Linked DNA regions of Diceros bicornis minor. The protein of the gene in region 1 purifies or fractionates together with the protein of each later gene. This does not show direct contact. Links are inferred from orthologs where the notes say so. Each region holds a gene or a part of one and is shown in the gene's direction. Other genes may lie near its edges. The genes, in order: PPP2R2C, IER5, PPP2R1B and CCT4.

Evidence for each region.
Region 2: the proteins of PPP2R2C (region 1) and IER5 purify together in Homo sapiens (affinity purification with mass spectrometry; 3 studies listed by BioGRID and IntAct, counting the BioPlex papers as one, with this or other methods). This does not show direct contact. The link is inferred for Diceros bicornis minor from reciprocal best matches to the Homo sapiens genes PPP2R2C and IER5.
Region 3: the proteins of PPP2R2C (region 1) and PPP2R1B purify together in Homo sapiens (affinity purification with mass spectrometry; 4 studies listed by BioGRID and IntAct, counting the BioPlex papers as one, with this or other methods). This does not show direct contact. The link is inferred for Diceros bicornis minor from reciprocal best matches to the Homo sapiens genes PPP2R2C and PPP2R1B.
Region 4: the proteins of PPP2R2C (region 1) and CCT4 purify together in Homo sapiens (affinity purification with mass spectrometry; 3 studies listed by BioGRID and IntAct, with this or other methods). This does not show direct contact. The link is inferred for Diceros bicornis minor from reciprocal best matches to the Homo sapiens genes PPP2R2C and CCT4.

What each region holds. Positions count from the first base shown.
Region 1 is NC_080747.1:5,388,402-5,396,167, forward strand, and holds the start of PPP2R2C (protein phosphatase 2, regulatory subunit B, gamma), read left to right. Parts: upstream 1-4,763; 5' UTR 4,764-4,791; coding exon 4,792-4,909; intron 4,910-7,766. UniProt on the Homo sapiens protein: The B regulatory subunit might modulate substrate selectivity and catalytic activity, and might also direct the localization of the catalytic enzyme to a particular subcellular compartment.
Region 2 is NC_080743.1:86,109,381-86,116,076, reverse strand, and holds IER5 (immediate early response gene 5 protein), read left to right. Parts: upstream 1-4,091; 5' UTR 4,092-4,286; coding exon 4,287-5,243; 3' UTR 5,244-6,196; downstream 6,197-6,696. UniProt on the Homo sapiens protein: Plays a role as a transcription factor. Mediates positive transcriptional regulation of several chaperone genes during the heat shock response in a HSF1-dependent manner. Mediates negative transcriptional regulation of CDC25B expression.
Region 3 is NC_080746.1:24,465,730-24,472,970, forward strand, and holds the start of PPP2R1B (serine/threonine-protein phosphatase 2A 65 kDa regulatory subunit A beta isoform), read left to right. Parts: upstream 1-4,226; 5' UTR 4,227-4,244; coding exon 4,245-4,358; intron 4,359-5,215; coding exon 5,216-5,306; intron 5,307-5,734; coding exon 5,735-5,835; intron 5,836-7,241. UniProt on the Homo sapiens protein: The PR65 subunit of protein phosphatase 2A serves as a scaffolding molecule to coordinate the assembly of the catalytic subunit and a variable regulatory B subunit.
Region 4 is NC_080751.1:25,445,753-25,453,200, forward strand, and holds the start of CCT4 (T-complex protein 1 subunit delta), read left to right. Parts: upstream 1-4,439; 5' UTR 4,440-4,566; coding exon 4,567-4,693; intron 4,694-7,448. UniProt on the Homo sapiens protein: Component of the chaperonin-containing T-complex (TRiC), a molecular chaperone complex that assists the folding of actin, tubulin and other proteins upon ATP hydrolysis.

The sequences.
Region 1 (7,766 bases):
GGGAGGAGGGTGGGTGCTATCCGGGAGGGCCAAACGGAGGCCACAGGGAGGGAGGGGCGCCGGGAGCCCCAGGAACGGTGGTGCTTCTTATCAGAAGCTTCCCGAGGCCCAGAGCCTGGGTCAGCAGGCAGTGAAACCGGGGGAAGGGCTACGCCGTTGATTAGTGTAACCCAGAGGAGCGGCCACGTGCAAGTCTGGTCTGTGCACCTGGGAGCTCTAGCTGCTTCTTGTTTTCTCTGAAGCAGCATCACCACCACCACTTCACCCTCGTCCCTTTTCACTTCTCCCTCCCCCTGCTCATCCTTTATGGTGTCCTCACAGGGTGCCCGGAGCCCAGAGTCTGGCCCCATGGAGGTGTTGGCCAAAGGAGGCAGCATGGAGAGGCAGAGTAGCACCTTCTAGCACCATGTTGTGGACACTGGAGGACCTGGCTTAGATGTGTTGGCCAAATGGGCTTCCTAATACTTAACTTCAGAATTTGTCTGGTGTAACCCCCATCTCTGGACTCTGGCAGGTGTGCAGCAGCAGAATAGAGCAGGCTCCCAGTGGGCACTGACTCCCAGGAGGAAGGGGAGAGGAGGGGCTGGGCTCCTCATGCCCACCCCTCCTTCCAGATGCACCAGAGCCAGCCACACTCCCGCTCAAGAAGGGGAGAGGCCAAGAATGTACACAGGAGCGTGCCTTCCCGTGGAAGGACACAGCAAGAGTCTGGAAGAAGTGTCTTCTCCACTCCCCCAACCCTGTCAAATGGTCTCAGCCATCCTGTGGGCTGGTGACAGTGTGGTTCAGTGGTGGGAGCCAAAATCTTGAGAAACAGAAGGATCTGGATTCAGAGTCCAGCTCTGCCTCTTGGCGTCTGTGTAGTCAGAGGGCGTAGTGGCAGCCCGGGCCCGGGCAGTGGGTCAGGGTGACTGGAGCAAAGGTGGGGGAGGGGAGGGAGCATGGCAAGAGAGAAGCCTGGACCAGGTGCTGGCTCAGCCAGGGCTCCTCCCGCTGCGTCCTGGAGATAGCAGCTGGTCTGGGAAAGCTCAGGCTGGAGGGGGTTGGGGTGGGTAAGACAGTGGTGAGTGCTAAGCTGCGCAGAGGTTGGGGGGTCCCAGAGGAGCATGACAAGGGACATCAAGATGACAGAAGGGACTGCACTGCTGGATTGCCTGTGGCATTTTCGCTGGGCAGTGGAATCAGACCTGGATTTGAGTGCTGGCTCCCATTCTTGGTAGCTGTGTGGCTTTGTCAAGTTGTATGACCTCTCTGAACTTCAGTTTTCTCATCCATGAAATGGGGGAAACTCCCTGCTGTGGGGCTGTCGTATGAGCACCGAGCCCAGGCCTGGGCGCACAGGTAGCCTAAGGATTGCAGTCTCCTTGTCAGTGTACGTCCTGAGAGGGGTGGGAGCGGGTGTGGAGCTGACTCCAGCTTGAAGGCTGGGCTGCTGGCAGAGGTGGTGGAGGAGTGGGGTTGTTTCGGAAAGTGGTGGGCTCAGTCCTAGACATGTGTCTAAACTGCTGGTGAGAAATCCAAATAGAAAGACCCAGTGTGACAAGCAGGGATTGGAACAAAAATGGGACCTGGGGTCCTTATCACTTGTCCTGTGGATACAGGAGCTGGACGCTCTGTGTGGGCCCAGCTGGCAGACCCAGTAGGGGGAAGACCTGGAGGAAGGATGTTCCCACCACCACTGCTACCTTCAACTGGAATGGGTTGTGCAAGGAGGTAGTGAGTTCCCCATCATGGGAGGTCTGAGAGTCTTGGCTGGAGGTCTGCTTGGGGGGCTGTGGAAAGAGGGTTGGACTGGATGACCTTCAGGTGCCCCACTGTGTGTCTAAAACTCTTCAAAGCCCTTGGCAGCTGCCTGGCCTCTGCACAGGATTCGGGGTATAAAGGTGTTCTCCCAAGTGTCACTGTCACCGTGGCCCAGACACGTGAGCCTCGGGCTGGGCAAGCATATCGAGTTGTATTTTTTTTTAAGCAGAAAACAGTAAAGCAGGCACAAATTTGCCTTTAAAGTAAGATACTGGGCGTCTGCCAAATGCAAATGGATTTAAACAGCTGGAAGTTTAAATCTGACCTTGAGACGTGTCATTGGTGGTTTTAGAGGGGCTCTGAGCCCCCATCAGGCTGTAATGGTGGCCCGCTGGCACTGGCCAGTTTGGGCCTGTTGGAAGGCGCCTGGGATGTTCACCTCTGAGCGAGGGCAACTCGGCCAGTCCTCGACCATGTGGACGAAGGGAGCAGGGCTGTGATCTACCAACTCTGCGAGAGGACAGGGCTCTGCCCATTGTCCTGGCATTCCATGGTCCTGTCCCCCCAGATACCTGCATCCATTGCTGTCACCACCCCGTCCCATCAGTACGAGTGACATGGTTCCTGCGACCACTGGGAGAGTGACCCTTAGCTCAGTGTCAAGGGGAGCGGACTGCTAAGGAAGTGAAGAGCACGTACTGAGCATCTACAAACAGCCCTGGGAGAGAGGTGCTTTCAGATGAGGCCCCTGAGGCTCAGAGGGGTGAGGTGACTGGCCTGAGGTTGCGCAGCCAGGAAGGCGTGAAGGAGTAGCAGTTTCCACTGGGGTCTCCACTCCCTGTTCTTCCCTCCACACCGCAGTGCCTCGTTTTAGGTAACACCCAGCACAGGGCCTCGGGGACTCATTAGGAGCTCACCAAGAGTTCCCTTCCCTTCCCTCTTGCTTCTCTGAGCTCGGCTTCCCCACCTGCCCATCTTGCAAGGCTCTAGGAACTGGTGAAATGAGAGGCGGATACTGGCTCTCTGTGTAAACTGTAAAGTGTTTCCCAAGTGACGGGTCGATATTAATGCCTGTGCCTTCCTTGAAGACAAAAGGGATTGCTGCTTTTGCCTGGTGCTCCCGCACGGCCTCCTGCTTTCTGTCTGCCTGCCCTCACCCCCGTGGAGAACACAGCCCCCTGCATATGGGAAGGCTCATGTTAATTTCCACCAGAATTCCCACTGTGCACACGGACAGAGCACTCGCACACGTAGCTCAGGTCTTTGGATAACTAGCTCTTTTCATACGGGTAGAAAATCATGCAGAGCTCTCCTGAATAAATCTTCAGCCTGCCCTGCCTCCAGCTGAGTAACTTAACCAGCTCAAGCCAGGTCTAGATCTAGCCCGGAGCAGAAATGCTAGGCAGTATTTTGTTTCTTTGAATATTTATTTATCTGTTAAAACCCTTGCTACACAGCCATGCATGCACACACAAGCACACACACAATTTGTATTGTTGTCCAGAGCATAGTTCTATAGATTTGGGGCTCACTGATCTGTTTCTGGCCATTGACTGGCAACATAGCACTGACCGCAGAGCTGCGAGTGAGGATTCTCTGATCTGATGCAGGGAGCCTAAGGAAGCAGTGTTGGGCCCAGGGTGGAGGAAGAGGAAACCCCCAGGAGGAAGAGGAGGGCGTGAGCAGGGGCTTCAGGGATGGTGGTGTGTTGGGAGCTGGCCGGTGCTGGGTGGGAACCCAGCTCTGCCCACTTGCTAGTTGTGATCTCGGGCCAGTTGCTCACTTCTCAGGGCCTCAGTTTCTCCCCTTGCTGACAAGAGGATTGTTGGGGTGTGTAAATATAAACATGTGGGTCGTGCACCAGCCACAGTGGAGACCTGAATCAGCTCCTGCTGTCGTGACTGGAAAGAAGGCTCGTGCGCTTGCATGGGTCAGAAGGCAGCCAGGGTCTCCCCACCCAGTGAGGTCAGGTCCTGGCTCTGATGACCACACCAAGACAGATACTCGCGGCCTACCGGACGCACACGCCGCAGCATCTCCCGGGCACATTCAGTTACGGCTGAGATGGATTGTTCTGCGTCACCCATGGTGCTTCATCAGTGACAAAATTGGGCAGGTCCTCATGTCAGAAGGCCCTGGCGTGGAGCCCAAGTGGCTGAATAAACGGGGGGTTCAGCTTAAGCTAATGGAGTGTGTATGTGTGTGAGTGTATGTATGTGTGTTCCCTGTTTATTCTCTGGGAGAAATAGCAGGAAATCTTTAAGAAATGATTGTGTGTCAGTCCCACAGGCAGGGGCTGTGACTGTTGGAATCATCTTTGGTACTTGGCCCAACTTTCCAACGTAGAGCTTTAAATGAGGGTGCTGTCAGATGCGGAAGAGAAGACCCACAATTGTTAAGTGCCACGTGCACAGAAGCACTAGGTGCTACCTTTGAAGCTCCCAGGTCGCTCGAGTCCTGATCGAGTCCTGATCATGCTGGAGGCTTGTGCTCCTTGGGCGTTCCTTCATTTTTGTTCAAGCACACAGCGGCATCTAAGGAGCGCCTGCTGTGTGCCTGGGGGCGTATCAACGAAGGTGCAAAGGTGCCAGTCACTGTCACAGTAGGCAGGTGGCCCCTGGGCCTCATCTTCCTTACCTGTAAAGTGGGCCACCACCACCTACCGGGTAGGTTATTTTGAGGGGTCAGGAAGATGAGCAATGACAACATTTAGTGCGATGCCGGGCACGTTGTTTGTAAGTAAATATTCCGTTCCGACCCGTCGCCTCCTCCTCGCTGCTTTTGACTGGCAGATAATTATCAGCTTCTGAAGTCGTTAGGAGAATGTGTTTTTTATTATGATGATGTCATTAAAACTGATCTTTTATCCAAGGTAGCTTTTTTACGACCTCATCCAGTGAAGATTTACCCGGCTCCTTCTGTGCGCTCGGCACTGGGCACGGGGCCTGGGAGAGGCGGAGCTGGGAGTGGAACCTGCTCTGAGGAGCTTACGCTCAGGTTGCACACCCGCTCCTAGAACCTCAGGGCCAGAGGAAACCTGACGCCTGAATGATGCTTCTGTTTCCCTCCACAGCATTTCCTACAAGGGAACCTGCACCTTCTCTTTGCACACCTCCAGTGACAGGGAGCTCACCACCTCCCTACATTCTACCTTCAGCTTTGACTGGTAGGTTCATCCATAAGCTGAGCTGAGTTACCTCCCTGAGTTCCCACCCACCAGACTGGTTTTGCCTCTGGTGCCACACAGACCAAGTCAGCTCCCTCTTAGCCACAAGAACCCACCAGAGAGCTGAGGACAACAAGCCTTGTCTTCCTTGAGTCTTGTTTTCTCCTGGTTAAACATCCCACATTTCCTTAAGGGTGCTTTTGGAATGGGGTTTGGGATCCCTTCTGCCCGAGTGCTCTGCTCAGAATGCACTTGGTTTGTCTCTGTTCCCCAAAATAATGTGTCTGTGATTGAACCCATCTCCCCAGCACACAGCAGCTCAGACCATCGTCTGCCATGGTCCTCATGGCACTGTCCAAAGTAGACGGCTGTGGTGGGCACCCTCATCCTTGTGAGCACACCCCTTGCTGAGTCACAAATGTGTGACATTGGAAAAGTCACCTAAACCCCCTACACCTCAGTTTCCTGATCTGTAAAATGGGGGAGTTCATTTAACACTTACTTCATAGGGTGCAGTGGGGCTTAAAGGAGGTACAGCAGGTGAGTAGTGCACCCAGACGGGGCCTGGCACGTAGGTGCTCGTCAGCGCTGGCTGCCATGGTCCTTATTGATTTATTATTGGCCTGGACCCCCGAGAGCTCCTTCACTGAGCTGGGCTGGTGTGTGTGGCCCAACCCCAAGTCTGGTCTCCCCAGTCTGCTATAGGAAGGGCCTGCCACCCCCAACCCTACCAGCAGGAAGGACTAAGGGAAAGAAGAGAATCAGCGACTTGCATTATATTTAACAGATACTTAAATAGTGCTTACTGTTTGGCAGGCACTGATCTAAGTCATTTTCAACTATTAACTCATTTAATCCCCTAAACAGCCCCTTGATTGTTCCCCATTTCCCAGATGAAGAAACTGAGGCACCATGAATATTAAGTACCCAAGGTAAGTGGCAGAGCCACTGGGATAGAGGACTGTTAAAAACTCCAGGTGGAGAAGAGACACAAATTTGAAAACTTACAAGAGCGTGGTTGGTTTAGGGAGAACCATAATTTGTGTGGAGCAGGGCACGCATGAGGAATGATGGGAGGAAGGTTGAAAGGGGATCCTCCTTGCTGTGTGCCAGGCCCTGTGCCGGGAGCATCACACCATCAGCGCTAATATTCACACTGGTGCTGGAGGTAGGCACAGATAGCCTGGGCTGGAATCCCGGCCCCACCGCTTCCTGGCTCTGTGACTATGGGTGTCTTACTTGCCCTCTCTGACCCTCAGTTGCCTCAGCATTAAAATGAGAGTAATAATAGTCCCAACTCTACAGGGCTGTTGTGAGGATCAAATGATCAGTGTATGTGAAGGACTTTGATCCTGCATAAGTGTTTCTGAAAAAGGGTGACTTGCCCAGACTTGGTGGTAAGTGGCAGAGTGGGCTTCGTTCTCATCTGTCTGACTCTGATATGCCATGCTGCCTTATGCTCAACCAGGCCCCGCCCACACACCAGCCAGAATGGCCCCCTCAATGGCCCCTTCCGTCACATGCTTGGCACATTCCTGCCACTGCACCACACAGTACCTGTCCCCCGGCATGCCCCCCCATTATCCTTTTGATATTTTATCTTCCATCTAAATCCAAACTCAAACCCCAGACCCCAGTAGCTGGCGCATGAACTCTCTCCTCTCCCAGTACTGAATCTCCTTCTAGTGCACACCCCCAATTATTCAGTCACTGCTGCTGCGCCCCGAGTCGGGTTGGGGTCTCCTCCTTCGTAATGGGTGTCTAGAGCGCCCCCGGAGCAGAGGGTTTATTAAATCATGCACCGAGGTTTGTAGAACATGGGACGCATCATTAGGCCCTGCGTGAACAAGCACGCCCGCCTGCTCCCGGCACCCTGCGCTGGCTCCGGAGCTGGTGTAATTACAGCTTACATGCAGTGTCATTAGCTCCGTGAGGCTGCTAGCGGGCTCCTGCCTTTGGGCTCCACCGACAGTGGTCCTGAGGCTCAGAAGCCCAATTCTAAGCAGGTGTGTCCATCTCCTGCCGGTGTGCTAGTGGTGCAGAGGTGCAGAGCTGGGGCCCTCTGTTTAATTAGGGCACCTGAGGGACACATTTCAGGTTTAGATGGTGACATGAGGCTGGCTCCTCATTCTAAACTGCTTCCTGAGAGATACCCCCAGACCCCTGAAACCAGAGAAGGCTTCAGGGGGAGGTAAAAACACAGCTTTCATCAAACAGACTCAAATGAAAGACAGGAAGGGCGCTCCAGGTCCGTCTGCTCCAAGCTAGTGAGCTGAGTGCCTGGCACCTACTGGCCGGTTTTCTAGAAAGCTCTCTGAGGCCACACTGGATGGGGACTTTGTGGTGAGGGTGCCCTGCGATCCTCTAGGGGCTCCTGAGACAGTGACATCCTTAGCTGGCTCTGGCCCCCTGAAGTGGACCCAAGGCAGCCACCCCTGGTCTGCTCCCCAGGCTCCACCCTCCCCTCTGACCACCCTCTGCATCCTTTGCCCTTGGGGTTTGTCACAGTGTGACCCGCAAACCGCAGGTAGCAGATGCACTCAGGGACTTGTTTAAAACACAGATTCCCAGGCCTCACCCAGACTTCCTGATGGCAGGGCCAAGGAATCTGAATTCTTAACAAGCATCGCTGTAATTGCCATTCCCTGCTCTATAGGATTATACGTGTTTCTCCTGGCCTCCCCTGCCTGCCCTGCAACCCCTGGGAATCCTTACACTTGCTGAACTCACCCCCACTACCGCCCACATTCCCACCCCAGATTCCTGGGAGAGAAACGTGATTGGCTCAGCTCTCTGGGCAGCCTGGTGATTGGCTGCTTCTAGAGGGGTGTGTCTACCACTTGATCCAATCAGCTGA
Region 2 (6,696 bases), on another chromosome or scaffold:
TGTACGTCATAGTTGCACATCCTTCTAGTTGCTGTATGTGGGATGCAGCCTCAGCATGGCCGGAGAAGCGGTGCCTCGGTGCGCGTCCGGGATCCGAACCCGGGCCGTCAGTAGCGGGGCGCGCACACTTAACCACTAAGCCACGGGGCCGGCCCTACCAATTTGTTTTTAACTGAGAAAAATCTCAAAGATTGATGAAGGCAAGTTCTAACTCAGTTTCCTGCTTTCTAAAGCTTAGAAGAATATGTTCTATATCTTCCCACTTTTTTTTTGGCAGGTGGAGGTGAAGCTTGCTGATCATAAGAGCCCAGGAACTCCAGAGATGAGTTCTCAAGGTTCCATTTTGTTGTCTCAGGATTAGAGGAAATCCTGACAATAACAGTGATCGTGCTCAATTTCAAGTCAGCAGACATTTATTGGGCACCTATCACGTGGCAGTAGAAAAAGCATTCAAAATTCAATGAGGACTAACAGTGTTCCTACTACATGCTTGGTACTGAGCTAGGCACTGGTATAATAACAATAACAATAACTAGACTTAGTAAGTGCTTGTATGGTGCTAGGACTGTATTAATCGCTATAGGTATTTTTATTCTCCTTTTGCACAATAGATCACCGAGGCACAGAAGGGTTAAATAACTAGCCCATGTTACAAAAGTGGGACATGATATTCTCATTTCCCCTAAATGTGAAATAAATTCCCAAAGGTCACACAGCAAGTAAGAGGTGGAACAAGGTAATCTAGCCCTAGAGCGCCCACTCAAGCTTTACAAGTAAATAGTTGGCGGTTGAAGCCCACTCTCTCCACCCACAGCTGTATGACTTTGGGAAAATTACTCAACCTTTCAGAGTCGTAGCTTCCTCATCTGTAAACAGAGATAATGACATCTACTTTCTGAACTTTATAAGGAGGATAAATCATGCCTGTACAGTGACTAGCACAGTGCCGGGTAGACAGTATCATTATTAGCGATTCATGAATCCAAGTGCATAATCGCTCAGTATGCACTGGTATGGCCACCCCAGTTGTTAAAATATTGAAATGCTTCCACGCTGGTTGGCAGAGCCTCTGCCCCAGGCCCCTTGAGTGGCCCCCTTCCTGGTCATCCAGCCCCTCCTGCAGGAGGCCCCATAAACCCTGGCACTATAAGGGCCACCAGGACTCTGTTCTGATGGTTAGTGCCTGTGTTGCACATTTGTTAAATATTTTCACTATCTTCTGGCTATAAATTTCTGATGGGTTCCTGCGTTTGATGAGAGCACAGTTTGGGAGGGGCCCTGGCATGACAGGAGAAAGTGATGAGGGCAATGATGAAGGAGTGTACTTCGTACAGCGGAGGATGTGAAGCGCCCAGGCCAGGTGGGTCGGAAAGGCTTCACCAAAGGCCTGCTCTACCAGGACCTGTTTAGGGGTGGGGGCATCCCGGATCATCACTAAATTTCCTTTTGTCTCAGTTTTTTCATTCTTGCTACCTCCACCTAGTTCAGGCCTTCATGACCCTTTGCCTAAACTCTCACAAGAGCTTTATAATTAAGTGGTCCTCTATAATTAAGTGAAATTAAGTGTACCAACTGTTCTAGAATCCATTCTGTGGTTCCCTTACTCAACAACCTTTAGTAGCTCCCTGTGGCCCCATCTCCTCAATGAGACACACATGACCCACTATCATGTAGCCACAGCCTCTGTTTCCAGCCTTTTCTACTTACTACAGGCGCCTGACACACCTGTCAAATGAGATGTTCCCTATACTGGACTCTGTCACTCCTGCTGCTTGGAACTTGTGGATCCTACATCAGGGTTTTTCAACGCCCTCCTCACATACAAGTTCTTTCTCTCATCTGTGTTCCTTCCCTCCCCAGCCTCTCCTCCCACCCGCAGGTCATGTGTGGGGTGAAGTGTTCTAATAACTAACATACGTGGATAGCTTATTATTATTACGCCAGGCTCTTCTAAGACCTTTACATATGTTACCTTGTTTTATCCTTACAAAAACTCTAAGAGGTAGGCACTATTATTATCTCTATTTTAAGATGAAAAAGACCTAGGCACAGAGAGGTGAAATAACTTTCCAAAGGTCACACAGCAAGTAAAAAGTGGAGTTGGGATTCCAACTCAGGAAGCTTGTCTTCAGAGCCTATGCTCTTAATCAGTGTTTTATAGTGACTAATAGCTCTCAAAGAAAGAGAAAATAGAAGAAAAATTTTGTCATGTTATTACTCAAAATATATGTCTTGCTTTTGGAATTGTTCATGTTGTTAGTTTATCTCCTTTATACTAGCTGGAAATTCCTAGAGAGGAGGGACTCTGGGTCTCATGGACTGGTGTCTCAGTTACTATCAGTGAGTTTCGGGCCTAGGTAATGTTACTGAGCCATCATCCTTTGGAGGCCTCCTGATTGTGAATTGGCCATAACCAAGCCCACCTTTCACTAGTATTTCTCCTAACTAAATACACCACTTGGCCAAACCCTGGTGCAGGATCAGGCCAACTGTTTCACATGGACTCCAAGAAACCTATGCTTAGCTTTATGATTCAGATTGTGGCTGAGAGTTTTCATTTATCTTCTGCATAACAGAGGAGACGTGTATGTGATTTCTCCCTTTTAGAATTGGAGAAACTAACGTGCCTGAGGTTATTCACCCAGAGTCAACAGGCAGGTCTGTGGTGGAGCTTAGGTGAGACTAACTCGAACTCACTCTCCAGGAGCCCAGTCCAGGACTCTGGACAACCCTGCAGTGATTCTCCCCTAATGCCATGTACTAAGGATCAGTAGATGGACGATGTCATTAACTGACCAGAAAATTCTGGAACACTCTTCCCCTATATTTTTACCTTGACACAAAATAAAATTATGACATTATGATGGGAACACAGGACTTCTCTATTTGTATTTTTAGAACTTGGCTAGATTTTTCCAAGGGTGGACTGGTCAGGCCTCATGTTGAAAAAAAAAAAAGCATTGTGGTGAACCACAATTCATTTTTCGTCTCATTGTAACGTGCATAACAACTGTGTTTGTTCTAGAATCTAGAAAACAAAATAGATGCTGGCTTTAGTGAAGAACCAATAACTTTGTACCTAGACACAATTCCTTTGTATCTAGACAGATTAGCAGCCAAAAACTTAGGAACTTTTAGAACCCCCTTTTTCTTTCTTCGGGGTTAGAATTGACAGATGCTGGGCCGGCCTGTGGCTTAGCGGTTAAGTGCGCACGTTCTGCTACTGGCGGCCAGGGTTTGGTTCCCAGGCGCACACCCGACACACTGCTTCTCTGGCCATGCTGAGGCCATGTCCCACTAACAGCAACTAGAAGGATGTGCAACTATGACATAAGCTATCTGCTGGGGTTTTGGGGAGAAAAAAGGAGGAGGATTGGCAATGGATGTTAGCTCAGAGCTGGTCTTCCTCAGCAAAAAGAAGAGGATTAGCATGGATGTTAGCTTAGGGCTGATCTTCCTCACAAAAAAAAAAAAAAGAATTGACAGATGCTAAGAGTGTGTGTGACTCAAGGGGGCAAGGGATTCATCCAAAATTAATATCTGCTAAATATTTTGTAGTAATACCATTTGTTATCCAGCGGTATCCTTTGCCGCGTTTTGCCATCATCTCCGTTTAAGCCAGGATTGGCCAGGAGCTTACAGGTGTGTGCAGCTTTGGACATGGTGGCGGGGGAGGGGAGCGGGCTGATCAGGGAAGGATGGGGACTTTACTCCGGAGCAAAGTCCACCACCATACTAGGATGAAAGTTCGAATGATTTAGTTCTCTTTGGTTCCAGCAAGCCAGCACACAAGCCACAAAATTTAACTACGAACAACACTGTGGCTACGCTCCCTCCCCATCACCTGCCTTCTGACCACAAGTCCCAACCCACCTGCCACCCCACACACCGTCGCCCCCTTTAAGAGCCTGCTCCGCGGGACTGATGTTCGAACTGCCCTGGCGGCCCTCCTCGGTCTCCGATTGGCCGCGCGAGGCGCACGAGGGCGCGCCGGCCGGCCCGGAACGGTTGGCGGCCCTCCGCGATTGGCGGGCGAGCGGCCTATATAAGGCGTGGGGCGGCGCGGCTGCCCTCAGTTAGCGACCGGATCCGAAGCTGGGTTTTTGTGTGTTGTGGTCGGGACGCGGGCGGCCGTGAGCGCGTCACCGTGAGTCGTTTTTCTTTAGTCTGCTGTTCCGAGGGTCTACCCCCGGGCCGACTTGTGGACGCCTCTCGTCCCCTCCCAGCTTCCGAACGTGCGCCAGGGCTCGCCCCTCACCTCCGCGCCAGCCCGTGAGGGAGGCAGGATGGAGTTCAAGCTGGAGGCTCACCGCATCGTCAGCATCTCCCTGGGCAAGATCTACAACTCGCGGGGCCAGCGCGGCGGCATCAAGCTGCACAAGAACCTGCTGGTCTCGCTGGTGCTGCGCAGCGCCCGCCAGGTCTACCTGAGCGACCCGTGCCCCGGCCTCTACCTGGCGGGGTCCCCGGCGCCGCCGCAGCCCGGGGAGCCGGCGGCCGGGCCACCCGCGGGCTGGGGGGAGCCGCCCCCGCCGGCCGCCGGCGCCGCCTGGCCCGAGACGGAGACGCCGCCGGAGCGCCCCGCTGTCCCGGACGCGCCGCGGGCGGGTGACGCGGAGCCTGCGGCCGCGGCGCCGGGCGCCGGGGACAGTCTTCAGGGCGGAGAGGCGGAAGCTGCTTGGCGCCGCGTGGAGGGCCCGCGCGAGGCGGCGGCCGGGGGAGCCGGGAGCCCCGCCGTGGTCGCGGACCTCTGTCCCGAGGGGCCCCGGGCGGCGCGCCGCCCCTGCGGCTGCCCCGCGGGAGGGGAGGACCCGCTGGGGGCGCTGAGCGCGCCGCCCCGCGTGGACTGCCGCTGCGCGCCGCGGCCCGCCGAGGACGAGCGCTCCGCGCCGCCCGCCGTCGGCCCCAGGAAGCGCGGCGCGGCGGGGGTGGGCGGCGGCCCCGCGGGCTGCCAGGCGCTCGGCGCGAGCCCGCTGAAGAAGCCCCGGCGGCACTTGGAGGAGCAGCCGGCCGGGGCGGCGGCGGAGGAGGAGGAGGAGATGGAGACCGGTAACGTGGCCAACCTCATTAGCATCTTCGGTTCCAGCTTCTCGGGACTCTTACGGAAAAGCCCCGGGGGCGGCCGGGAGGAAGCCGAGGGAGAGGAGAGCGGCCCGGAAGCCGCCGAGCCCGGGCAGATCTGCTGCGACAAGGCGGTGCTGAGAGACATGAACCCGTGGAGCACAGCCATCGTGGCCTTCTGAGCCCGGGGGCCCCGTGCGGGAAGCAGGTTGAGCAGCGGGCGACTCCGACGTGAGGGCTGGGCCTCTCCCGGCTGCGAGGCCGCCGCAGAGACGAAGGCGCCGGGCGCGGTGCGGAGACTGTGGGTGCTGCTGGGCAGCACGGACTCACTGCCCTCGGCCTCGGCGGCCCTGCGGGGACTCGGGGGCGTGAGGCTTATTGGAAGAGGACGATCGTTAACTTTTGTGTCTGTGTATGTGTGTGTCAGTTTGTCTTGTTGAATTAAGACTATTTTGTCCTTCTGGAATGCGTCGCCCTTGCCCCGGGGCTCAGGAGGTTGGGGGCGACAGGGACTTTCCTCTGCCGGCAGCACCGAGAAGGAAGCGGCTAAAAGGGCCGGGGCCGGGGAGTTCCCCATTCGTTCTCGGGGGAGGAAGGGACTTTACACACACCCCTTACATGAAAGCCAGAACCGCACCCGGGCCAGGAGTGGCGTTTCCTCCCAGGATTTCCTAAATCTAGAGGGATTTAGTCTGGAGTAGAGACTTGTGTCCTTTTCTCTCCCTGCCCACCTTTCTCTCTGACTGAAGAAACGTCTGTACCCTGTGATTACTCTGGGAAAGGGGAATGTTAGCGGCCCATGTCTTCCCCACAGGGAAAAAAAGCTTGATAAACTTCACAGGAAAGTTCAAGCTTGGAAATATGGAGTTTATAGAGAAGAGATATATTTTCAAAAGCTCTAGATCAGAACTACTACACAGTGCTTTTAAAAAGTGTTTAATGAAACAAAGTTTACAGACAGAAGCCCTAAGTGGAATGACCTTCTGGGTTTGTATATATGGTGACTCCAGTCTTTGTTGTATAAAGGTTGGGGGAGCTGACAAGGTTTTTGTACAGTTATTTTCTCCGTTGTATTGATTTTTGTATAAAAATGTAACTTTACGTGTCTAACACGTATTAAATATTTTGAAGGAACTTCACTGCCTCCTTGTGTGTAATCACCTGTCTGGGCTGGGAGGGAAACAGGAGGGAGATCTATGGTCTGGGCTGGAAAATTGAAGGTGTGGTTTTTAATATCAGTCATGCACAGACTGGGGACATTGTTTGCTGACTTCACTAAGTATCAAGAGAAACACATTTAAGGTTTCTCCCCCCAGATCAGGGGACTGCTTTTAGATACTAATATCAGTGCCCTGCCAGTTTCTTGAGACCTGCTACTACAACTGTCTTTTCTCAAGTCAATTTAGACCAGTTTGGTTTTCTACAGCCCAATCTGATGGTGTCTAGTGTTAAATAACTTAAGTGCTAACTTTTGAAGCCACAAAAATGGTTCCCAGCCACAAAAATTGTTTTCTCTAAAACTACGTTTTCTGTTAAACTATATAACATAGGTCATTTTTCAGCTTTCTTATTGAAAAAAATCTGACATATGAGGGAAGGTGAGACTGATTTGCCCAGCTGGTCAGGTCCACCTCT
Region 3 (7,241 bases), on another chromosome or scaffold:
GTGATAAGCTATGGCATGAAGGTAGGGATGAAGCAAAGAGTAGTGATAATCCCTGATTATGAGTTCCATAGCTTCTTCTGATTGACTGTGTGACTCCAGGTAAAGTCTTTTTCTCTTTGTCAAGTATTCCCAGCCATGAAAATGGGTTTAAAATTTTGCCAAAAAGCAGAGAAGAGAAAGAAAGTAAAAATATTGAGGTGAAGTTGAGGGGGGAATATTTGAGACCCGCAGAATGAGGATATTCTTTGTATAAACATAAATTCAAAATATCATTAACACTATAATGATAATTACTAATTTGCAATGAATTAAGTGCAGACCTGGGAATCTGTTTACCAGGGTCAGCTTGCTAAATGAAGAAAGCTGGAAAATGCCTGCATGTACCTCAGGTTTTCTGTACAAGAACTGGGCCATCCACCACTTTCCTGATGGCCTTTTCAATGGGTCGGCACTGCTGGGTCTGCCCTGAGAGAACGACCTACATATAGGTCTCTCTGCTGCACTTGGCCTTCTCTCCCAGTGGGGTGACTCTGGAGCAGATCAGTCCTGGAATGAGCGCCTGTTTGTAAAGCTCTGTGGACTGTGAGGAAGAGGCAAGCTTAGTACATGTGAGGTGAGAGGTCAGAGAGCACAATGACGTCATTCAGGCTTCCTCAGGACTGACCCTCTTCTGTTGTGACATTGAGAGCTGTTAGAAACACAAGAGTTGATGGCTATCGATCCCATCTGCCTGTGCTGCTCCATATTCTTGATGCTTCATCTGACAGGACCTGGGCAAATCTAACCCTGTCTTCCCTTGATTCACTGGGTGAGTGAACTGTATGTGGGTATCAGAACTCAGTGTTGAGAATGTCACATTGTTTCCTGAGTGTTGCTTCAAATCCTCAGCATTATCTCAGCCATTCCCTCTGGTGCTCCCTGGTCATTAGTTTCTTGTGTGTGTGGGATGTGGACAGGAGACCAGAGGGCGCAATAGAGAGGAAGAGAGCATATGGAAACAGCTCAGTGACACAGTTCTGTATTTGTAGTGCCTAGCTGACTTCCAGGAATCCAGCAAAAGAGGGATCGTCTTAATCTGGCAAAAACCACAGCCAATAGGGATAGAATTGCTTATTGATAAGCAGTTGTAGCTATCATTTGCTTTTTCTGGACTGAGGTGGCTTCCAGATACTCTTTTCAGACTCTCCTTGAGCAGATGCTTGTTGATATGGTACTTATTTTTCCAGATGAACTTTTTAAATCAATGTCTTTCGAACGTCATTGCACATTAGAACCACCAGGGGTGCACGGTAAAATGTCCTGCCCCGTTCTCAGGGATTCTGATTCAGTAAATCTAGGGTGGAGGCCAGGAATGCACATTTTTCCCCCAGTTTTACTGAGAAATAATTGACATAGAGGAATCTGCATTTTTAAACAAGCAACTTATGTGATTCAGATAGTCAGTGGACCACACTCTCCAAAAGACTGTCTTACATTTTGTTCTAGTTTCCATGTGGCCCAATTTTTGAAATAGCCTCTTTCTGCTTCACTCTGTTTTAATCACTTTCTTTATTGAAGGATTTATTAGCATCTCCATGTTTACTACCTGTTTCATTCTCACATCATCACAGTAACCAGAGAGGGAACCAGAGGGGGTTAGCTCCATTTTATTGGAGATGAGGGGGTGAGAAGCAGGATTGAGGCATAGGGAGAGGTATGTCACAATGAGTCAGAGACAGAGGTGGGAATTGAAGTCCAGAATTGATGACTCTAAAACCAGGCAATTTTCTGGGGCCTATTTTCTCAGCTTGTGATTTCGTATTTAATCATAGTTATTCTTTAGGTGTCCAATTCATTGTGCTTGAGTAAGCAAAGCGTACTTGAGTTTTAAACAAAATAGCTTAGCATCAATCCATGTGCTAATTTCTGTTTAGCAGATGGAGGGTTGTCTAAGCTTAAGCTAATATCTAGATGATGGTATGTCTGGAATTGACTTAATGTGCTTCTCTCTGCATTTGCTTCCTTTATCATTTCTGAAGACTTTTTACATAAAGTATAAGGAAACAGATTTCTCCTCTCCATGCCAATAGGAACCCCCTCTGATCTACTTGTTTAGTACTGGTAAAGTACTAAATCAAAAAACCTCTCAGCCCTCTGTTTCTCAAACTTGAGTAGTATTTGGATCCATTTCTAAAGGAAAAAAAAATCTTGAAAACTCTGTCAATTAAATTTTTATTACAATGTTACTTAAATTTATAAATATAAAGTAGGAATATAATGTTCTTTTATTTATAGTTCTTATACAACTAAAAAACCAAAAAAGATTTACATATTAAATACATATGAAACCACAAAACTAATACTATGCATATTAATATAGTAATTTAACATGACAATTGATGTTTTGCTTAGACTAAATTATCCCTTGTATTGTGACTATGGTATTGCTTGTGAAAGATCAACGTCTTTTGAGTTCAACATGCCTATGCCACCAAGTGACCTCTGACATCTCAATTTTCTCACCACTTTTCTGTTAGAACTACTGCAACAGTGCAGTCCCATGATGTCTTTTTTTTTTTTTTGGTGAGGAAGATTGGCCCTGAGCTGACATCTGTTGCCAATTTTCCTCTTTTTGCTTCAGGAAGATTGTCACTGAACTAACATCTGTGCCAGTCTTCCTCTATTTTGTATGTGGGTCACTGCCACAGTATCGCTTGATGAGCAGTGGGTGGGTCTGCACCTGGGATCTGAACCCTCGAACCCCAGGCTGCCGAAGCAGAGCACATGAACTTAAACACTATGCCACCGAGCTGGCCCCCATGATGTCTTTTGGCTTTCATTTTGTGCATGAAAACACCATTTTCATTTTAAATCCACCTCTGTTCGTTTCTCATTATCCCCAAACAATAAAAGCAGAATTGAAACACACGTGCAAATGTAGGTACTGAAATCACGTGGCAATACCAGGTTATGAAGTGGTCACCCAAATAATCCAGTATATGCTTATGCAAATCTAAAAAATATTATCAAAATGAAAACAAAATTAAAACCCTAGAGAATACATCCATAGACCTAATTTGAGAAATACTGTTCAGGTCCATTCACTCCCAAACTTCCACTACTATCATATGCCCTATCTACTGTATTTACTTCCAGGAACCCTATGTTTTAAAGAAAAAGTCTCCTAAATTGCATTTATTAATAATTTTACATTTTTATTAATCAGACATAGAACTACCATTTCAAAGCTTGTGATCACCATATATAGGTATCAGTCTAAGCTGCTTATAGTCCAAAACAAACAAAAAGACAGGACATTCTAGTAATTCTCTGCTGCCCTAACAAGGGTAAATGAAAACTTTCCATTAAGTTTTTTAAGAAAGAACTCCCATACCCTCACATCCTCCCACTGCTGCCTTTCAGGACTCTTGGAGTTCTAGGGAGGCCAGTTTAGCCTTTCTTGTACAAGCAAAGTAGCCACTCCACTCAATTTGGAAGGATTAAAGCTTGTCCTAGTTTTGCTTGATTGTTGTACTTCTAGCATGCTAAAGATCTAAAAAATGGGAGGAAGAAAATACAACAGAAGGCACCATTCCAGTACCAAACTGAAAAGAAACACAAAAACAAGAGAGCAGCATGTTTTTAACAGCTTGCATGGAGAAGGCGGAAAAAATATTGACTGGGGAGTTTGGACAGCACTGTTCATTTTCTCTCACCGCCCGCGTTATTTGTCTTATGCAGCAGGAGCCAGATACAATTCTGGCGCACAGGCCGAAGGAAGAGGTGGAGGGGTTCTGTGGAAGCCTGAGGCTAGTGGGGAAATTAGAGCTGGAGACCCACTGGCTCAGGGCCAGGATGAAGTGAGGGGAGGCGCTAAATCTTTTTTCCTCCTAGCCTTGGGCATCCTCTTTGGTCCGCCGGAATCCTAAGAGGACACAGCACGGATCACTCAAGTAGGTCCCTGACCCCTTCAGAGCACCACGAACAGGATGAATCCTTGCCCCTGTTTCTTTTGGCTGGGGAAAGGACGCAGGGGCTCCATTCGGTTTCTTAGCCCACCCTTCTTCTGGTGTTTAGAGCTACAGCTCCCCCAAGGGGGACCGGGCGAGGGCCTTCACCAGCCCGGCAGACATCCAGGTCCTCCACCTTGGCGGAGAAGGAGCGCGGGCATTAGCTCCGCCTGCCTGGGCGCGGGGCGGGGCCTGGGCGCGGGGCGGGGCCTGGGCGCGGGGCCGGAGGCAGCAACCAGGCGGAGGAGAAAGAACATGGCGGGCGCCGCGGGCCCTGGGCTCGGCCCCGGGGCAGCGGGCGGAGATGGAGACGATTCGCTATACCCGATCGCGGTTTTAATCGACGAGCTCCGCAATGAGGACGTGCAGGTACTGGCCTCGGGTCGGGGAGCGAAGGCGGCCCAGCCAGGCGCGTGGGAGGGAGGCGGGAAGGCCGGCGCCGCGGTGGGGGTGGCCGGGGGATGGAAAGAGGCGGGCTCCGAGCTGAAAGTTGAAGGGGAGGAGGGGAGCGACCCTTGAGGGGCTGTGGTGCCTCGGCGCGACCTTCCCGGGGAGCTCTCCAGCACCCTTCCTCCCGACCTCCTGAGGCGTCTGCCCGGCGTCCCACCGGTCCAGGCGGTTGTGGGAGAACCGGCCTCCCGCCTGGGCGCCCTTCCGGGCCGTGCGGTGGGAGCGCCGCGTCGAGCGCTGGGCCGGCCGTCCTTGTCGACGAGCGGCCGCAGGGAGGGCGGCGCGGGGCCGCGAGGGGCTGAGCAGCCGGCAGCGGCGCCAAGGGGCCCTTTGAAGTGCGGGTGAATGAATGCCTTCCTCTGGGCTTGCAAACCGGCCGGGATCGTGGGGTAGAAAGAGGGTGGGGTGGCTGATGAACCTAGAGGAGTCGGTGTGGCAGCTTTGGGCGAACTTTTCTTTGAAAAGGCGGGAGTTGTATTCAACCGTTTCCTGCTTCACCACTGCCAGAGTTCCCTTTCTAAAATGTCTCACTCCCTGGATGTTGTATTCTCTTTCATTCATTTCTCTAATGGGGCCTTCAGAGTGTTTCTACTAGGACATCTTCCTAATGAAGCCGTGTTACGCTGCTCCTGACGTTCCTCATAGAATAAAATCTAAACTGAAGGTTTTCCTCATTCTTACTCGTACGCCATCTCACCTGTTGGCAACTTTTGTCTTTTGGTCTAAATCACAACTATTTCTTTACTTCGTTCTTCTTTCCACTTTCTTTTTTAAAGCTCCGTCTCAACAGTATTAAGAAGTTATCAACAATTGCTCTAGCACTTGGAGTAGAAAGGACGCGAACTGAACTGCTGCCATTCCTTACAGGTATGTGAATCTTTGTTTAAAGAAAGGCATGGGCATTTCTGTTTTCCAGTGGCTTTCAAAATTTTGAGTATTTTTTAGCATTTGTTACCCCCAGTATTATTAAGTGCTAAACTGAGCCTGATGCTTTTGGGGCAAAAGAGAACAGGACAGGGCATATTGTAATATTGTGGCCAGACATATTCAAACATTAACTGTTTAGCTAATAGTAAAGTAATTGTTGATAATGGGATTATGAATTTCTAATTCATTCTGTAAAACAGATCTAAGACGACTCTTGATTGAGAAGGAAGAAAAGACTGTTAAAGGATTGTGACAGGACCGTCGAGTTACATATTAAGTCTCTTCATGTCTCTTCCTAGTTTTATGTGAGTGTCCAGTTCTGGGCCAGCTATCCTTGTTGATGAGTATTGGGTTGTTGTCATTTCCAGATACAATTTATGATGAAGATGAGGTACTGTTAGCTCTTGCAGAGCAGCTGGGAAGTTTCACTGGCCTGGTGGGAGGTCCTGACTTTGCCCACTGTTTGCTGGTGAGTATATTCTGCCTGCCCTCCTTCTAGAACTTTTGCAGTATAAATGATACATTGTTTGGTGGTAGACACACTGCAGCATTTTTTTATGCAGATCTTTTTATGGATAGTCGCAGTGTTAGCTATTGAGAGAACAAATAATGTAGGTACTTTGGACTCAACCCTTTCTTATTTTTTCTGACTATGAATATAAGAACTTCCTCTTTTCTGCCTCTGTAGACTTATTTGTTAGTTTAGAGGTTGGGAGAAAAAGGATTTGATTGGTTTTGTTTATTTTTTTTTCTCTTGAAATTGGAAATCTTAATTCTCATCTAGCAGTGTCATGACTTTGGAAATGTTTGTTAGCTTTTTGTCTTTGATCGTAAGCATAACGTTTGCTTCTGGCTTACTTTGTGAATTTGATGAGTTCACTTCAATTTAGTTGACATTTATTGAGAGCCTACTATATCAGGCACTGAAGTTACAGTGTTAATGTTAAAGAAGACTAATGTGAATGGAATGAGGTCTCTGTCCATATTTGTCAACAAATAATTACGTACAGTGTTAGATGGAAAAATGAAAGCACATACAAGGTACTCAAGTAATGGAGAAGAGAAAGAGTTAACCTAGGGTGATCAGGGATGACCTCATGGGAGATGATGTCTGAACTAGGTTTTGAAGGATGACTAGGAATTTGGATAGTTGCAGAAGATAGGCATGTATGCTTCAGGGCTTAAATACTGTGTATATCATGCTGACTCTTGTGATTTTATCTCTACCTTTCCATGGAACTTCAGATATAGCTATAGAAAGAGAGATATAGATATCTATCTGTTGTCTCTATATATCTGCCTATGATTTTTCCACTAGGATGTCAAACAGACATTTCAAATTTAACATGCCTAAAACAGATCTCAATTTTCTCCCCAAAATTATGCCTTTCATTTAGTTGTCCCATCTCAGTAAATGGCATCACCGTCTACCCAGTTGCACAAGCCAAAACCTAGACGACATTCTTGAATCTTCCTTCCCTCATTTCCCACATCTAATCCATTAGTAACTTCTACAGATTCTATATACATTCCAAATCAGTCCACTTTCCTCCATCCCTACTATTAGCTGGCTCATCTTTCCTCTAGTCTTTCCAGGCCACATGATCTTTCCTCTAGATTACTACAGTAACTTCCTAACTAGTTGCTTTCCCCTCTTGCCTCCCACCTCACCCCTACAGTTCACTCTTCACCCAGCAGATGGATCACTCCCTGCCATGGCTCTTAGAAAATCCACATTTCTGCCTTAGCTTGTATCTTAGTTTACAAAACCTGCCTCTGTGAGCTTATCTCATATCGTGTTCCCTCTTGATAACCTCATTCCATTCACAGTGATCGTCTTTCTGTTCTTTGAATAAACCAAGCTTATTATTGCCT
Region 4 (7,448 bases), on another chromosome or scaffold:
TTATAAATTCATTATAAAAATAAACATTATGTCTCACTAAAAAAATTATAAAAAAACATATAATTATGGTGCCAAAACACAATTATTACTGTATTTCATGTTGATGCTCACAGTTCTTTAATTTCTACAGAACAAAAATATAACTCTTATGCTGATCAGCTGGTGCAAATTCGTGCAACACACAACCCAGACTTAACACAATGGATCCATGAAAAGAGTGGACACTTGGGAGAACAAGCTTCATACAGGTGGGCACAACAAAGGAGAATCCTTATCACCCATGATAATATTGCCACTGCAGTACAACAATGTCAATATGCCAATAGTTAAATGGGGAGTTCCACACCCCTACCAAGGTCATATCCAAAAGGGATTATTTCCCACCCATACATGACAAATAGATTTTATTGGACCATTGCCAAATTCTTGTGGCTATATTTACGTCTACACTGCTGTTGACACATATTCCGGCTATTTATTAGCTATGCCGACTAAAGCAGACACCCAGCAGAGTGCCATAAAATTATTAAATACAATTAAGTTGTACTATAAAACACCAAGACAAATTCAGAGTGACAACGGTTCCCACTTTACAGGTAAGTGAATACAAACCTATGCCAAAAAAAAATTATATTAAATGGATATATCATATTCCTTACTAACCCCAAACTGCTGGTCTAATTAAAAAAATAAATAAATTGTTAAAACAACAGCTACACAAATTAAGTAAAAATTCTTTACAAAACTGGTATGCACATTTAAACGCTGCTTTGCATATTTTAAACAATAGGCCTATAGGACCTAATGACACACCTTTAACTAGGTTACAAAAAGAAGACAAAATTGGACAACTACTTATCCTTCCCCTAATAACACCACAAATAAAAAGGGGGAGCCCTCCCTCAATTTTATCCCCCCCCAAAAATTACAAGGCTTCAACTCAACATATGGTTGAAAACCTAGAGCCAGTTTGAGTTACACACCCTCCGCATACTGCTTCCCAAGCGGCCAAAATCATAGCACAAAGAACCACAGCCACCCTAATTGTTATATACCCCAAAAACAATAATCTATATCATGTTCCTAAAAATGCTGTTTCTTTATGTGAATAGGTACTGTTAATCAGCTTGCTGATTGCTGCCACAATGAGCACCTCCTGTTTTCTTCGGACTGCTATGCCATTGAACGTCATGGTTGGACAACCACTGCTGTTGCAGTGCTAGACAGACTGCTTCACGCCAGTTGGACCTGTAACTTGGACATTAAATAAACAGACTATTTGGTCACAAAGGCTGATTTTCACCTCGTCATATCATAACATTTCTGACCAGTCACACAGACAAAATACAAATTATTCCATCCTTTTACCTGCTTCCACTTTATGAAGTGGAAGATTTTATTCATACATTGAGTAAAAAAAAAGGGAAACCTAACTCTCCATATATAAACAATACTGCTTTTCTCAGCATTTTACCAAATGCCACCAACACTCTAGGTAACTCTAATATTTGGCTTCATTTGGCTAACAATGTTCTTAATGTTACCTCTTTCTGCTTGCGCAATAATAATGATCCTCCCAGTTTACTCCAAGCTAACTTGCTAGGATTAGGTCTACCCCATAGCCATACTTTTACTTCATCTGTTAACGCCAGTACTTCATTCTCCCTATCCTCAATTCCTATTTCTAGTACTACCAGTACCACTTGTTATTCCCTTAATTGCACTTATATCCCTACCTATTGTAATCATACTGTAACCCCTTGCGCCACATCTGTAACTTTTCCTACAAAACTATTTTGGCTATGCGGTGATCAAGTCTATTGATATGTTCCAAAAAATACTTCAATGACTTGTGGAGTAGGAGTAATAATACCCCTGCTTGCTACATATCCCAAAGAAAGAGTTCGATATAAGAAAACTTTAACTCCAGATTATGATCCACATGTCAACTTATTACCAATATCCACAGTGACAATATTAGCTACCCTGTTGTTACTCGATCCAAAATTAATTGTAAATAATCACAAACAAATTAAACATCTGTCCTGTTTACTCACTCATATTATGAATGACACTGTTAGAGCTTTATTTACTATTTCTAAAAAAATTACAAGAGTTATAAAGGGAAACATTGATTCAACAAGCAGCCAGCAGCGCTAGATTACCTTTTCCTATTACATAAATTTTCATGTATTCAAATACCAAAAATATGTTGCTTTAATGTTACTAATAAAACCTCTACTTTAAATTCTATAATCAATGACTTACAAAATCAAATTGATAACATTTCTTATTCCAAAAAATTGTTTAAGTGGTTACCCTGGCATATGGGATCTATTTGTTCTGATTGCTTTCTATTTGTCTTATGCATCGACCTTGTAATCACAGGATGTTTTATGTGTAGCTGTGTATAAAGTTCACTGTCCATGCGGCTGGTTTCTTACGGATAACCAAGTGGCCACGGCCAAGATGACAACATAAGTGTTGCCATGTTTGTCCGCTTGGTGACCCTAGGAAACCAGCCACACTAAAAAATACAGAGCAGCTGCTTGTGATGGAAACCGGCCTTTCTCCCACAATACTAGCTACAACTATTTAGGTTATAAAACTCCTGGGATGTCAAGGACAGACACAGACTGGCCATCTGTGTCGGTCAGGGATAAGTACCAGGAGTTGCAGTGCACATACACACCTCATAACAGCAAAAAAAAGAAAAAAAACAAAAAACAAAAAACCAAATGTTCCCATAGAGATGGTCTCTAAATGAAAACATGCATAAAAGCAACTCACAATTCTGCTTGGGCGAGAATCTCGCCTGTGGGGGGGACGCCTTGCCCAGGACCACTGTTGATCAGAACTCCCGCCAAGCCGTGTCAATTCAAGGGACTCTCCCCCACGCGGCGTAGATGTTGTTAAGTACCCGATCTGATGCTTCTCTTTTCAATTAATCTGATGTTATTTCCCCTCGGTCGGTCTGATGTTTCCCTTTTCGATCAATCGGATCTTGTTATTTGACCTATTCGGATCTGTTTCTATCTCGGTCGATCTGATGTTTCCCTTTTCGATCGACCTGATGTTTTTCCCTCTTATTATTTGACCTATTCGGATCTGTTTGCTGCCTTTGTCCTTACCCTTCCCTATATAATCTGTTTGCTGCCTTTACCTTTACTCTTCCCTATATACTAAAGTATACACTCAGTCCACTCGTCTGTGTTGAAAAGTTCCTTTACGCCTCCAATCAAATCCACCAAACCTCTCAAAACACCATCATACCACATCGGTTGTCTTAAATAACTATAGAATGTTCATAGGCCAAGATAGAAGTAATCTGGTCCTTTGAAGTCAGTCCCAGAGGCTTACGGATGGCAGAGCACCTAGGAAGCCTCATCTTCTAGCGCTAATACACTGAATGCTATAAACGCTCCTCAGGATCACAGGATTAAGTACTTGGAACAACTGTTCCTGTACCTATCCAGGCATCTGTTACTTTATGGGTGCTTAATAATTATTTGTGAATGAATACTGAATGAACCTCACCTGCATAAACTTCCATATTAAAATACAGTGGTAATAAGAGCCCAGCAGTTTAGCTCATGACCTCTGAAGTCATTGCTCTGTACTGGAATACTGCTTCCATCTACTTACTGGTACATTGGGCTTCAGTTCTCTTTCTGCTGCGGCTCCTTTATCTACTAAAAAAATATAAAGGCAACTGTTTCATAGGCTTGTTGTGAGAATTGAGATAAAACGTGTAAAGGGTTTAGCACTGCGCCTAGCGCATAACTGAACTAAATGATCGTTTATTAAAATACTTAGGTTTCCTAAGAGTCAATGGCTACGTTAGGTAGAACAAACTAGTGTAAAACGAGGAAGCTGTACTAACCAGACAGTCCCGATTTGGCAGGCAATCATAGCTGCAAAACTTTTAAGACTGTGGTATTCAACCAGTGTATATTTAAATCTCTACTACCCAGTATTAATCAATACGAGACAACCAACGCCAACCCTTAAAGCAAAGGAAAGCAGCCAGCCCTCCCAAATCTCTCTTTCGACCCCCCTTTCACAATGAATAAAAGTGAATTAAAAACAGCTCTATGCAGCCCCACAAAAACCGGCTCAGCCCCAACCATTCGGGAGCAATCTGGGTACGGACACCACCTCGCGGACAGGTCTAGCTTGACTTAACGGAAGGGACCTCATGGCCAGGGAGTGGGGTGGGGAGATGTGGGTGTCCCAACTCCTGCCTTTACAATCGCGGGTTGTCCTTTCTGCCTCGTGTGAGTCAGCCCCACCGCGCCCCCGACCCCCTGCGCCCTGCGCAACATCCCCTGCGAGTCCCGAGCTCCCCGACGCAGTCGCTTCACCCGGCGCGCAGGGGGCAGCCTGTGACGTCATGCCGGCGCCGCGCCGCCAGGCAGGCCCCTTTCTCAACCTCCTCCTCCCGGCGCCGGCTCCGTTTTCTGGAAGATTCGTGAAGGTGGGGGACGCCCACTGTTAGTCTGCGCCGAGCCGGAATCCGAGTCCATCCGTCCTTCCTGGGTCCGCGCAGACCCCGCAAAGCTTGCCATGCCCGAGAACGTGGCACCCCGAAGCGGGGCGCCCGCCGGGACTGCCGGCGGCCGCGGGAAAAGCGCCTATCAGGACCGCGATAAGCCGGCCCAGATCCGCTTCAGCAACATCTCCGCGGCCAAAGGTATCGCCTCCCGGGCTTTCCCCGCGGCCCTGCGGGGTCGCGCTCCGCACGGCTCATTTTCTGTTCTAGGTGATCCCTTCTTGTCCTCCCGTAGAAGCAGCTCTGTGAAGGGACCCTTCTTTCTGTTTTTTGCGGAGAATTCCAGACCCCAAGTATGGAGGCCTTTGGACTTGCCCCAGTCTGGGTCTTAGACGGCCATCATTTTCCATCCTGGGTTGTGCACCATTTATCACACTTCAGCAGAAAGCGGCCGAGGCCCGCGTGCGGCGGTCCCTTGGGATCTGACACTTAAGAGCTGTCGCTTATCTGCTGACTAGGTCCACTAGTAGAATGTTGTTTGCACAGTACTTTCCAGTTTTCTTCTTACAAAAATATCATTTAAGTAAGCTTTTCTCGGCGCAGCTATTGAAGCGAATCTGGTAAACTCTCCGCGCTTCAATTGTGGCGGGGCCCGTTGTACCGGGGTGTGGGGAACCGACTTACCCAACTCGTTTGAGAATAATTATAAAAAGCTACACTGTGCTTTTGTGTCCTCTCTGCGTGTGCAACCGAACACCAGCAAATCGAGACATAGGGACAGTTTACCTTTTTTGAAGAACAGTGTTCGGCTCTTGGTGGAAATTAAGACGACCTGAGTTGCATTCTATTTACATTATTTCGTGGCTTTTGTGACCTTTAATCTCTAGCCAAGCTTTCGTTATGTGTAAAATTGAGGAGGAAAATGTTCGCTTCTCTTAGAGTTGTGAGGATTAAGAGAAGTCTGGTTGAGATAGAAGAGTCTGGAAGGAAAAGTGAGAACAAAGGCTTAGAGATCTTGCCCGTGGTGTGTCTTGAGTACAGTGAGTATTTCTTTCGGTGAGAGAATAAAGTGCACGAAGAAATGAGAGGTGAGATTGGAAAGGTGGAATGGGGCCAAATCTTGAAGGGCCTGGTGTCCTGGAAAGGGTTTGGCGTAGCTCCTGCACTACAGCTGTTCTTCGTCGTAATGAGGTAAGAGCTAACCTGTACGCTTGCTGTGAGGATTAAAGAAGAAAGCACATAAAGAGCCACGGATATAAAGTACAGCCTTACAGGTATTTGAGGCCATCGGCCCAAGTCACTGCGCGCGTGATGGTGATGCTAAAAGAAGTAGGTACACTGGAGGAAGGATGCTGGAAGAAGAGAGAAGAGGTTGTGGTTTGGGCCGAATGAGTTGGAGAGGTCTGAGTGACCAGATGGGTAGATTTAGGAGTCATTTGAAAGTTCAGGAGAGAATGTATACCTGGAAATAAAATTTGGTAGATAGTTGTCTAGGGAGTGTAATTGAAGCTTAGATTGATTACATTAGATGTCAGATAAATTCTGGGGCGCGTGGAGGGTCAGAAGAGCTAGATAATACAGTAGATTGTCAACGAAGAAGGAAGATACAGAATAGGAGGTTTACTGTAGTAACCTTTGAAACAGCAGTGCACAGAGAATTGAGACTGGGCAAGAGAGGTATGCATGTAGGAACGAAATGTCACCTAAATTGTCTAGGAACTTGGCTCTATATCTTAAGTGAGGGGAACTCATAGAGCAAAGGGGCACGACTAGTCTTTCCAAGTCGGACAAAACCCTACAAATTGAGAAAAGCTGCTGCCAGGTGCATGTTTAGTTTAATTTGGGGAGCCAGGTTTTTTTTTTTTATGTTACCAAAAAGATAATCCCATTGGTTGATGCTTTGAAAGACCACACACATGAAAGTAGTAGTAGTTCTAGTACTCTTCAGCATGAGTCATCCACACAGTATGCTAAACTTCAGACACCTTCAGAGATGTAAGCTGTCTGAAATCTTATTTTTTGAATAGTGTGTTATTCTAGAGTCTTCACATAGATGAATAGAAGGGCATTCTAAAATGAATCGGTCTGTTTATAGGATAATCGTCATGGAGGTCAACTAAAATCGCTTGAAAGGGTAAAATTGACTTGATAATTAGGAACAGAAGCCCCAAATTATGAAATAATTAAGTAGAAAATAATTTTTAAATTATACCAGGTATTTTCTCTTAAGCTCTTTAAGATTGTGTATTATTGTTCACACAATATGGAGGGAAGCATTGTGGTAGTTGTGGAGTATACAAAACTGGGGCACAATCTCAGGCCTCTGTAGATGGGGTGAGATGGTATGTGCGAAAGGGGAAGATTTAATCATTTGTCCTGGATTTGTCAAAGACAAGGGGATCAAGTACTGTTCGTCAATTCCAATTTCTCTAAGAAAACAAATGGATTAATAAAATAGAAATATTCTCATGGACAAGTAATAAGAATAAGTAACTTTGGAATGGTAGACTGTATATCCAGAGATGTTTCATAACGTACTAATGATGACCAAAAGCTATGATTTTAGTTTTTGTTTTTTAGTTAAGGTTTGGGTCTTTTGTTTGTTTGGGGTGTTTTTTTTTTTTGGTGGGGCTTGGGTTTTTGTTCTGGGGTCAAAGGGTATTTTTTTACTTGGGCTATCCATATTCTAGCTTCACAATAGCAAACAAAAGTCTTTACCCTCAGAAATTATGCTCTGTAGTTAGAGGAGACAGAGAGTAAACAAATAAGTGAATTATATAGTATGTTAGGAGGTCTGCTTGTTTTGTTTTAAGGAATGGAGAAAAAAATAGTCCTCAATTAGCACATAACTAGATTGTACCATTTTGATGTTTAAAGGAAGATTAGGTAAATCCTTAAAATTTATTCTGCCATAGGCGGAACACAAGTATTACGTATAGTGAGTTTAACAACAAAA